Oryctolagus cuniculus: one gene and its partners. The protein of the gene in region 1 purifies or fractionates together with the protein of each later gene. This does not show direct contact. Links are inferred from orthologs where the notes say so. Each region holds a gene or a part of one and is shown on either strand. Other genes may lie near its edges.

The links.
Region 2: the proteins of PPME1 (region 1) and PPP4R2 purify together in Homo sapiens (affinity purification with mass spectrometry; 3 studies listed by BioGRID and IntAct, counting the BioPlex papers as one, with this or other methods). This does not show direct contact. The link is inferred for Oryctolagus cuniculus from reciprocal best matches to the Homo sapiens genes PPME1 and PPP4R2.
Region 3: the proteins of PPME1 (region 1) and PPP2CB purify together in Homo sapiens (affinity purification with mass spectrometry; 6 studies listed by BioGRID and IntAct, counting the BioPlex papers as one, with this or other methods). This does not show direct contact. The link is inferred for Oryctolagus cuniculus from reciprocal best matches to the Homo sapiens genes PPME1 and PPP2CB.

What each region holds. Positions count from the first base shown.
Region 1 is NC_091432.1:65,501,783-65,505,434, reverse strand, and holds part of PPME1 (protein phosphatase methylesterase 1), read right to left. Parts: exon of another isoform or gene 2,703-3,652; coding exon 2,638-2,702; intron 2,044-2,637; coding exon 1,976-2,043; intron 174-1,975; coding exon 155-173; 3' UTR 1-154. UniProt on the Homo sapiens protein: Demethylates proteins that have been reversibly carboxymethylated. Demethylates PPP2CB (in vitro) and PPP2CA. Binding to PPP2CA displaces the manganese ion and inactivates the enzyme.
Region 2 is NC_091441.1:76,202,915-76,206,567, forward strand, and holds part of PPP4R2 (serine/threonine-protein phosphatase 4 regulatory subunit 2), read right to left. Parts: intron 2,073-3,653; coding exon 1,902-2,072; intron 1-1,901. UniProt on the Homo sapiens protein: Regulatory subunit of serine/threonine-protein phosphatase 4 (PP4). May regulate the activity of PPP4C at centrosomal microtubule organizing centers.
Region 3 is NC_091433.1:80,834,284-80,837,936, forward strand, and holds part of PPP2CB (serine/threonine-protein phosphatase 2A catalytic subunit beta isoform), read right to left. Parts: intron 2,772-3,653; coding exon 2,562-2,771; intron 1,422-2,561; coding exon 1,248-1,421; intron 1-1,247.

The DNA of each region.
Region 1 (3,652 bases):
CAGAACGGTTTGTACAACTGGGAATGCCCGTCTACAGGGAGCCGGTGTCACGTGGCCGGGCAGGATGGTGAGGAGACAGCGGCATCACAGTGGCCTCTGGTGCGATGTATTTACAACAGAGCTCGATGCTGAGGGAGGGGTGGTGAGCAGGTCACTAACAGCCAGGAAACACACTGTGAAGAGCAAGAGAGGGATGAAAATGTAACCAATCACCAGCTTTCCCCTGCTTCCCCAGGCTCCTTTGGCCAACCCTCCCTAATGACCACCAAGGCCCCTGAAGATCTGTCCCACCTCCTCACAGGCCCATCTGGGACCAAATTTCTACTCTGAGTGCATGTTCCAAATAGCCCAGAGACCTCTAACACTGTTTAAAAGAAATTAGGGGAGGGTATTAGGAGAGGGTTGTAGTGTTTAAGGTGCTATTTGAGGGGAAGGCTTTGTGGTACAGTAGGTTAAGCCACTGCCTGCAATGCCCATATCCCATAAGAACACTGGTTTGAGTCCCAGCTGCTCCACTTCTGATGCAGCTCCCTGCTAACACACCTGGGACTGCAATGGAGGATGGCCCAAATACTTGAGACTCCTTCCACCAACATGGGAGACCCAGATGGAATACCAGGCTCCTTGACTTTGGTCCGGCCCAGTCCTGGCCATTGCAGCCATTGGGGGAGTGGAACCAGAGAATGAAAGATCTCTCTATCCATCTAACTCTGCCTTTCAAATAAATCAATCCTCCCCAAAAAGGATGTTATTTGAGATATGTGCATCCCGTATCACAGTACCTGGGTTCAAGTCCCAGCTCTCTCCTAATTCCAGCTTCCTGTTAATGCATGCATTGGGAGACAAGAGGTGCTAGGTGGAGTACTTGCAGTCCCTGTCACCCATGTGGGAGACCCAGTTGGAGTTCCCAGCTCTTGACTTCAGCCTGGCCCAGCTTCAGCTATTGTAGGCATTTGGGGAATGAATCAGCAAATGGGAGATCTCTGTATCTATTTTTACTAGGTTGAATTTCAAATAAGTAAAAATTTTAAAAAGAGAAACTAAGTCGTCTTTGCTGACTGTGGGCCCCATCAATGGTTAGCTGCTAGAGGAATGGTTCAACATGAGGGTGTCATTCCTATGGCTCACAGCTCCAAGCTCTTATCCTGTTGTCACTCTCGCCTCCAACTCACGGCATTCAGAGTTCTTGTTCAAACTTTCTGAAGGAGGGAACAGGTTCCCCTGAACTCTGAAAATCAGAAGGATTTCAAATGGCAGATGTGACTCATCAGACCGTGGACTTTGAGGACCCAGGGCCTTCCTCAGCACAGACAAGTAGGCTTGAGGGGGGGCAAGAACCTGCTGGGTTAACACAGAGCCCAACTGTGTCTCCCTAAGCAGCTGAAGAGCTTCCTAGGGGGAGAGGCCTGCACTCCCTGCTTCTGCAGACCAGTGGTTCTTAACTGGGAGCAGCTTTGCCTGCCTGGAGACAGCTGTGGTTTGCAGAACCATGTGTGGAAGGTGCTGCTGCTATCGAATGGGTAGAGAACAGGGACACTGCTGAACATCCTACCATGTGCAGAAGAGGCCCCGATAGCAAAACAACAACCCATCTCAAAACGGCGGCCATGCTGAGGCTGAGAAAGCTGCTCTAGGGTCCTGTGGGATCTCTGGGTCCAGCCAGCCTTGCTCAGCAGCAGGGCAGAAGGCACAGAGGCTGATTCCCATCTCAGCCTCCTCGAAAAGGGGGTACCTCAAGAAGAAATGCACATCGCGGTGAGGGGCTGGGAGACCAGGCATGATGAAATCGCACCTTAGCAACAACCCACAGGACCAGAGCACAGAGAAGTAACTAAGCACAGCTTTGCCGAAATACACATGCCAGCCTCTCTGTGGAGGAAGAGGAAGGTGACCCACATAGGCAGGGCTTTGTGAGGCAAATATCTGTTTGTTGGGTTGGGCAGCGCTCATGGAGATCTTACACCCTTGTACTTACCACTGGAACCCTCCGATGGGCTCTGCGAACCTGTGCCGGATCAAGAAAGTGGCAACAGCTTCAGCTACCTGAAAAGGGAGAGATTCCGGGCCATATGAAGGTTTGTGATGGTGCTTACCCTTGGAGTCTTGAGAGCTTCTGTTGGAAAATTAAGCTATGTAATGCCCTCCTGAGTCCCACAAGTCTGGGTAGCTTGAAACCAAAAGGACCTGGGTCCTGGCAGGGCTAGCAAACTCCCATCATCCTTCAGGGAATGCCAGCAAGCTCAAGAGGAATGGGACTTATTTATCCCCTTTGAGTTATGAAGCTCCTTTTTCCCACAGGAGTAGTTCATGTTCATTCCTATTTGTGACTAGGTTAGGGAACAGTTTCTACCCTCAACCATCCCTTCTTCCACCTGGCTTTTGGGAGCAACACAGCTTAAGATCTCAATCATAGGGCCCTGAGAGGAAATGCAAAGGACACAACAGGTCCTCAGCCCCACCCACAAAGTCAAGCCCACAGGCAGCTGCTAGAGCCATGTTTGGGAAGCTGGTGGCTGCAGGTGCCTGGATTTCCCTGCAGCTGCAGGCATCCCAGGCTAATACTCAGAGGCTTGTCCTATCTCCTGGGCCATCCAAAGTCGCTCTCACAGTTGTCCTGTCGTGAAGCACCAAACTCACCTTGTCAGGGGCATCCTCATGGACTGCATGGCCACACTGGGGCAGGACCTGCATCTGGAACTTCCCTGGAGAGGAAATAAAGCCAGGCAACCTCAGGCACTCATACCGCCCTCCCTTACTACCTCTGCAGCCTCTCAGGTCACTCCAGGAGCCCAAGATGGCCCCATTTCAACCCCAGCCCCAACTCCATACTGATTACCTACCGCCTCTTTGATGAAGATGGTAACACTGTAACCCTCAATCATTTCCCTTCACTTTTCCTTTTGTGCCTACTTAGTGTACAGTGACCTTGGGGTAAGAAACACAGAAGAGCCTGGTGTTGTGGCATAGCCAGTAAAGCAAGCACTTGTGATGCCTGTGGGCACTGGGTCTTGTCCCAGCTGCGCCACTTCCAATCCAGCTCCCTGATAATGACCTTGGGAAGGCAGCACAAGATGACCCAAGTACCTGGGCCCCTGCCACCCACATAGGAGACCCAGGTAAATCTCCTAGCACCTGGCCTTTGTGGCCATCTAGGGAGTGAACCAGCAGATGTAGGCTTGCTCACTCGCACTCACTCTCCCTCTTTCAAATAAATAAACCCTTTAAAAAAAAAAAAAGACACATAGAAGACAAATCCTCTGATCCTCAAGGAATTAACAGACCAGAAGGGAGTAAGACACAAAACCAACATTTTCATGCAGCATGTAATTCCTGTGATAAAACTGGGTAGGGTTGCAAGAGCAGAGGGAAAGAGCTTCACAATCCAGTAGGAAGCCAGAAGGCTTCCTCCATAGAAAAAATGGCCTAACACAGAAGAGAGCAGCACTGGGATGGTATTTACTGCTGGAATTAAAAGCAGCTGAGCATGCTGCTTGGGCAGGTGGTTACTTAATGGTGAGGCTGGAGAGCTAAGCCAGGACCATCTCATGAAATTTCTCAGCTGTATAAAGGATTTTGAAATTTCTTCTTAAGATAGCAAGTTACTGCTTGAGTATTTGTTTCAGGTACTGTGCTAAGTACTTCCTGACAATGT
Region 2 (3,653 bases), on another chromosome or scaffold:
AAGCTCTTGTAAAAGGAAAATACAACAACTACACAATATGATTCTACTTATTTTCTATGACATTTAGGGACCTTTCTAAAAATATGAGAATTATCAGTTTTGTATTTAAAAGATAACCTATTACAAATGGGGGAGGGATGTACTAGAAAGAATACCCCTAAACTGGATAACAAACAAAATGCTATACCTCTTATATTAAAAACTAATTTATGCATAATCAAAACACAAAAACAAAATTGAAAAAGACTGCAAACATGCTCAACACACCAATATTTGATAATATAGACCAAAAAAGTAAATTTAAACTGGAAGATACTAATCTTTCACTGATTAAGATTTAGATTCTGCCTGATTAAGGAAACTTGATTCAGAAACAGCCATCCTGAAAAATCTAATTTAAAATATTTAAGTTCAAAATATTTATGGTGTAATGATAAAACTTTTTAAAAGCAATTAGGCATTTAATGACTGCTTACATCATTCTCTAAAGTAGATAAATTACCTGATTTACAGATTAAGAAATTATATATATTCAGACTTACTTAATAACTTACATTATCTGCATCTATTCCAAATTAATTTGAAAGATGTAAAAAATATATTCCTTATTACTAATTCAGACTCACAATTAGCTTATTATTTACAAAGCAAAGGTTATATTTTGCCTAGTTTCACCCTCTTATTTTTAAATGGCACCTATCACCTATAATTTACTGAAATAAAAGGTTAGTCATCATAATGTCAAAGTCTGATTTATGTATGTGTACACTATTTGGAAATATTCCCAAGAGATCTAGTCTCAGCTGGACCATACTCAGTTTCTTCATGAACATTATAAAACATGCTTCTAATACATAGAATGTGGATGCTTCTGGGAATGTACTTTTTAAAAAAAATGTCTTAACTAATATTAGTAAGGAAAGATATGCATATGGTTAAATAATTTCAACAGCACAATACCCTACACAGGAAAAACAAATCTCCTTCCCATTCTAGACCTCCAGGTCACTATAATGGACTGACTTCAAGGAAAAAGCTACAATTTCTCCCCAAAAAATGTATTCTGGTAATAGAACCAGAAGCCAAAGCCTAAGGATGTATTTTAAGCAAAATTCCTAAACTCAGACAAGTAGAAACTATAATAACAAAGGGTTAACCACATTATCTAAATCCTGTTTTTAAACCCCTTCAAATAAAATCTGTCTAAATATTAACTCATGGATAATATTCCCAAATTCACAATATACGAGACTGCAATTCTACACCCCAAATCGTTAAATGGCAAACTAAACAATATACTTCACAAACAAATCTTCCCTTAGGAAACTCTAAAAGTATAAAGTCCTAAAAATATATAATTTAAATGAGAGAATGAGACACGACTATGTTCTTATTTTAGGGCACAGTATCTTTTTGTTGTTTTCAAGTGTTTTACAAAGAGCTAAAAATGGTTACTTGTTGGTGGGGGTTGAAGACAAATCCCTCCCAAAATTTCTAAATAAAAACTTACTAAATAATACTTTCATAAATCATTTTCCATTTTAAAATAAATATAACTTCTCTCAATGATACAGAATCTATACAAAGTCTGATTTATAATAGCAAATATAAAATGATACAGGAAAAAAAACCATAAAAATATTTCCTGACAATGAACACTTCTACTTTTGTACCCACTTAAAGTCTGAAAGCCACTGGAGTTCATAAAATGGTTTAAGTTTTTTTTTAAGGCTGTGAATACTTTAAACACATACAAGCTAAAAATCATAAGTGCTGTATGTCACTAGAGACACAGAACTTACTCTGATAATGAATTTCAAACAACCAGACATGGCAAAACTTAAGATAAATCTATGATGTCTCATAAAACTTAAATATTTGAAAGAGTGTTAAGTGCATACCCATTAAATCCAGTGACAATTTTCAGTATTCTTTCCTTCATTTCATCAAAGGGAATATACTCGACATTAGGGTTGGGAGGACCTCTTGGTTCAGGAGCTGAAGTTCTGAAATCATCCATCACTTTCTCCAGTTTGAAAATAAAATAGCCTTTAAATTGGGACCACTGAATCCTACAAGCAAAAAATTGGAAAAATATAATACCATGAAGCTTTACAATTCTTGAATACAAAGTACAAATATACTATACAATGTCACTAATGCTAACAAAATTAAGACCAGAATAAGTAGCAGAGAGAATGTCTGTTCAGTAGCACCCATCATGCACGATCAGTACGACTCACCAAGCTCCAATGGGATTCTACCCAAACCCCCAACTCCTCTGATCCAAACAAAATCCAAATCTCTATTAAAATCTTTACAATGCACTGTCAGTCTGCAAGCCAGGATGCTGGAATTGATTGAGTATTTTTTAAAGATTTATTTATTTGAAAGAATTACAACAGTGGGAGAAAGAGAGAGATATCCTCCATGTACGGGTTCACTCCCTAAACGGCCGCAAGGGCCAGGGCTGGGCCAGGCTGAAGCCAGGAGCCAGGAACTTCATCCAGTTCTCCCATGTGGGTGCGGGGGCCCCAACAGTTGGGCCATCTTCACTGATTTCTCAGGCACATTAGCAGAGAGCTGGGTAAGTGGAGCAGCCGGTATTTGAACTGGCACCCACATGGATACTGGTGCTGCAGATGGCGCCTTAACACCACAGCATCACCTATTTCATTTCAACTCTGCCCCTTATAACAAAGCTAACTAGAGCGGTGTTACTGCTCCACTTAACCATGCCAGAAATAAATTTTTGCACTTAAGCCTCAATAACCAAGCTATAATGCTTACATGGTACAAGTAACATTTCTTGTCTTTTAACTGTCAAACAGCAAAATCAACTTTAATCTGTTTCCTCACTTCTTTCAACTAATATTTTCAGGTTATCAGTTAAGACATGGGTTTATCCAACCAACACTGCACAGTAAAAACAGTTTCTGGGCCAGTGTTGTGGCATACCAGGCTGGGCTGCCACCTACGATGTCGACATCCCACTGGGGGTTTGTGTCCCAGCTGTTCCACTTCTAACCCAGCTCCTTGCTTATGTGCCTGAGAAGGCAGTGGAAGATGGCCAGAGTGCTTGGGTCCCTGCCACCCATGTAGGAGACCCAAAAGTAGTTCTTGGTCTTGGTTTCAGCCCGGCCCACCACTGGCCATTGTGAACTTTAGGGGACTGAACCAGTGGATGGAAGATCTGTCTCTCTCTACAATTCTGACTTTCAAATAAATTTTTTTTTAAAAAGTTGGTTTTAAAGGGAAGGAATCTGGATCTATGCATATCTTTATATTAAAAACGTGTATATAGTTTATACACTTTTCATATCTATTCACTGATTAAATAAACATCTTTCTAGCCATCTTGCCTTACATTTCACCACTAACATAGGAAGAAATTTTGTGATACCTTCCCAAATAGTCTAAATCCCAGGAGATCCAAGAGTCAGAATGTCAACCAACTCTGGAGGCAGGCAGTACTACCATCAGTAGTGGCATAAACAGAATGACTACTTTAACAAAATTATACAAAATTAGAGGAATGTTAATTTGCAATCACCCTTCCATCACATCCAGCACCTTCAGAGGGCAACCCCACAGGGCAGCAGTTTTCAAGCTGTGGTCCAAAACTAAAAGCTTTTTCATGCTGTTGACAACAG
Region 3 (3,653 bases), on another chromosome or scaffold:
AAAAATTGGAGAAGGTCATAACCAAATTACATTCACATCAGCAGTACAAGAGTACCATACACTTGACAACACCGCGCATTTATAATTGAGTTTTATCACCATGTTTTACATTTAAACTAAAGTAAGTTCATGCTTACAGCAATAATAGAATATTTGTATATTTCTTCTTACACATTTGAATGTTTTAGAGTATGTGCCAATACTTGTCACAGGTAGAAACAAAGCATTCATTTAGGGAAGAAGGTATAAGACACATAATACAATTACCATAAAAATAGGAATAAAAAACTTTAATGGTAACTAGTAGATACTGAATCTGTGTGGACCTTGTTTCAAAAAAACATCTTGCTTGAGCAGTATTGTACGTTGGGGTCTTCAAAATTTACTTATAATTTTTAAAGTATATTAGCATGTTCTTTGGCCAACACATTTATATAAGATCTGAGAATCACAGGAAAATGTTTTAAATATGCATAAAACTTATCCAACTGGAACTGGCACCATGGCACAGTGGGTTAAAGCCCTGGCCTGAAGTGCCGGCATCCCATATAGGTGCCAGTTCTAGTCCCGGCTGCTCCTCTTCCAATCCAGCTCTCTGCTATGGCCTGGGAATGCAGCAGAGGATGGCCCAAGTCCTTGGGCCCAGCACCCACGTGGGAGACCTGGCAGAAGCTCCTGGCATCTAACTGGCGCAGCTCTCCGTTGCGGCCATCTGGGAAGTGAACCAGTGGATGGGAGACTCTCTCTCTCTGCCTCTCCTTCTCTGTGTAACTCTTTCAAATAAATAAAATAAATCTTAAAAAAAAAAAAAAAAAAACTTATCCAATTATCTGCTCTGGAAAAAAATTTTTTTTCTTAAGGTTTATTTATTTTAAAGGAGAGATATCTTCCTATCAGCAGGTTCAGTCCCCCAAGGCCATCCACCCAAGGTTACCACACGGGTAGCAGGAACCCAAGTATTGAGGCCATCATTTGCTGCCTTCTAGGTGCACTAGCAAGAAACTGGATCAGGAAAGTGGAGTAGCCAGGACTTGAACCAGGCTTTCCAATACAGGATGCAGTCATCCCAAATGGTAGCTTAACCTGCTACACCACAATGCCTGCTCATAAAATTGTAAGTATAAGAGAGGCAGGAAGGCCAAAGAAATCTAGACACAGATGTCATGTAAGTCTAGCCCCTGTTAATAGTCTAATTTCCCCCCTATTGTAAGCCCTCCATTGCAAGATGTAAGCACACAGATACATACCTGTCCATCTACCAAAGCTGTAAGTGGAAGATAATCAAATAGGTCTGTAAAATATTTCCACACATTGGCATTTCCATACTTCCGTAGACATTCATCATAAAAGCCATATACTTGGGTAATTTGTCGGCTTTCATGATTTCCTCTCAATATTGTAATGCGTTCTGGATAACGCACCTGAAGCAAAGGAAAAGAAATCCACAGAATATTTTTAATATCATGTTATCTGAACACATTAACTTCCAACCCATTTCTTCAAATGGTTCTTGTGTCCACCAGTAAATTTAACGTAATTTTTTTTCACAGTAAAAATATTTGTCATTCCTAACTAGGTCTTATTAACCTTTGAAATAATTTTACTGTCCTTCATTATGAGTATCATTAGAATCTTAGTTTGTATCTTAGCATCTGTTTCAGTCATCATCTTTATTATCTATCACTAGTCTTGGACATCTTTTCAGAATACTATTAATTCTTCACTGCTGAATGGTTACTGTTTAGCTGTAGTTTGAACCTGAGATAAAGTCTTCTAGAGGCTAAGTTCTTGTTCTTTTTCAACTTAAGTATTGCCAAATCTGGTTCAAGTGGATTTTTAAGGCTCATTTCCATGACAGGACAAAAAAAAAATGTATCTCATATACATTCGTGCTTAGTAAGCATCCACTATGTATGCAACACTGAGCTCAGCACTATGAAGCTCAGTGCCAGGTCTGCTGTTTACGGGCCTGATCTCAGGAAGGAGATGTATGAGGTTAAGATTTCAGAAATAGACCACTATGGCAAATTCAGAGTATGGAGGGCCAGGCAAGGAGTTTGAGTTAGGCAACACGAGTATCTGTAGGTTTGGGAGCACGGAAGTAGTAAGATACAAGAGTGACTTGATTTGGCAGCATATACAAGGTGGACTTGCAAAGATGAGATCTTGCAGGTAGAAATATTAGTTACCAAGTTAATGCAGTAATTGAAGTGTGAAGTATTAGATTGTGTCATGAAATAAAAACTTAGGAATAACAGAACTTTCAAGGCAAGAAATAAAGACCTGTTTAGTGATTCAATATGAAGAATATGTGCTTAAGTCAAATATGATTCAAAGATTTCAGCTATGGAATACCCAAAAGAATGGCAGTAGACTGGACAAGTTTAGTGTATTATTTTCACCTCTCTCTATAAAAGTCATAAAACTAATTATTATTTTAAGGAGCTATAAACTGAATTAACCCTAAGATAGTAGAGATGACATTTAATACTGTCATTTTTGCCTTTTGCCTGGTTTAAAAACAGCTTGAAAAAAAGAAAACTGAATTATACTGATCATACCTTTAATGCTACAAGAAGAGTCACAGTCTCCACTGAGTAATAACCTCTGTCCACATAGTCTCCCATGAATAGATAGTTTGTATCTGGTGATTTCCCACCAATTCTAAAGAGTTCCATAAGGTCATGGAATTGACCATGCACATCTCCACAGACGGTAACAGGACAACGAACCTCTTGCACATTGGATTCTTTTGTTAAAATTTCCTTAGCCTGTTAAAAAATGAAATAAACAATTTAAAAAATATTCTATCACAAACTTAAAAGTGTTATTTCTTATCTACTAAAACACTTGTGAAGTTTTTCTTATGAAAGTATAAAAAGAGAACCACAATAAGATACTGATAGCTTTAATAAAGTAAGTGTTCCAAGGATGCAGAGAAATCAGATCCCTCATATGCTACTGATGGGAACGTAAAATGGTGCAAGCCACTGGAACTAACAATCTGGTAGTTCCTCCAGAAGTAAACCCCGAGGTGCTGTGGCACAGGTTAAGCTGCTGTTGCAGAATGCCTGGTATGACTCCTGGCTACTCAACTTCCAGCCCAGCTTTCACCTGCCCCCTTCTAAGAATTTTTTTTAAAAGTTAAACATAGGGGCAAGCTTAGTGGTTAAGATGGTCATTTTCTGTGTTGGAGTGCTTGGGTTGAATTCCTAGCTCTGGCTCTTGGGTTCCTGCCAGCCATGTGGAAGACCTGGATTGAGTTCCTGGTTCTTCTCTTGGGCCTGGTCTACCCCAGTCCTAGTTGTTGCAGACATCTGGGGAGTGATCCAGCTGATGGGAGCACTCTCTGTCTCTTAAAAGTTAAAGAGTTATTGTATCACCCAAAAATTCCATTCCTAAGTATATACCTAGGAAAAAGTATATACCTAAGAACTTTTGTTCAATGAGAACATTACTTGTAATGGCCAAAAAAGCAGAATCCACCCAAATGCCTACCAACTAATGAGTAAATAAAATGTAGTATATTCAAACATGGAATATTCCTCAACAATAAAGAAATGAAGTACTGACCCATGCTACAATTTTGAAAACATTATGCTAAGCAGGTCACAAATGATCACATAATGTACAATCCCATTTACATGAAATGT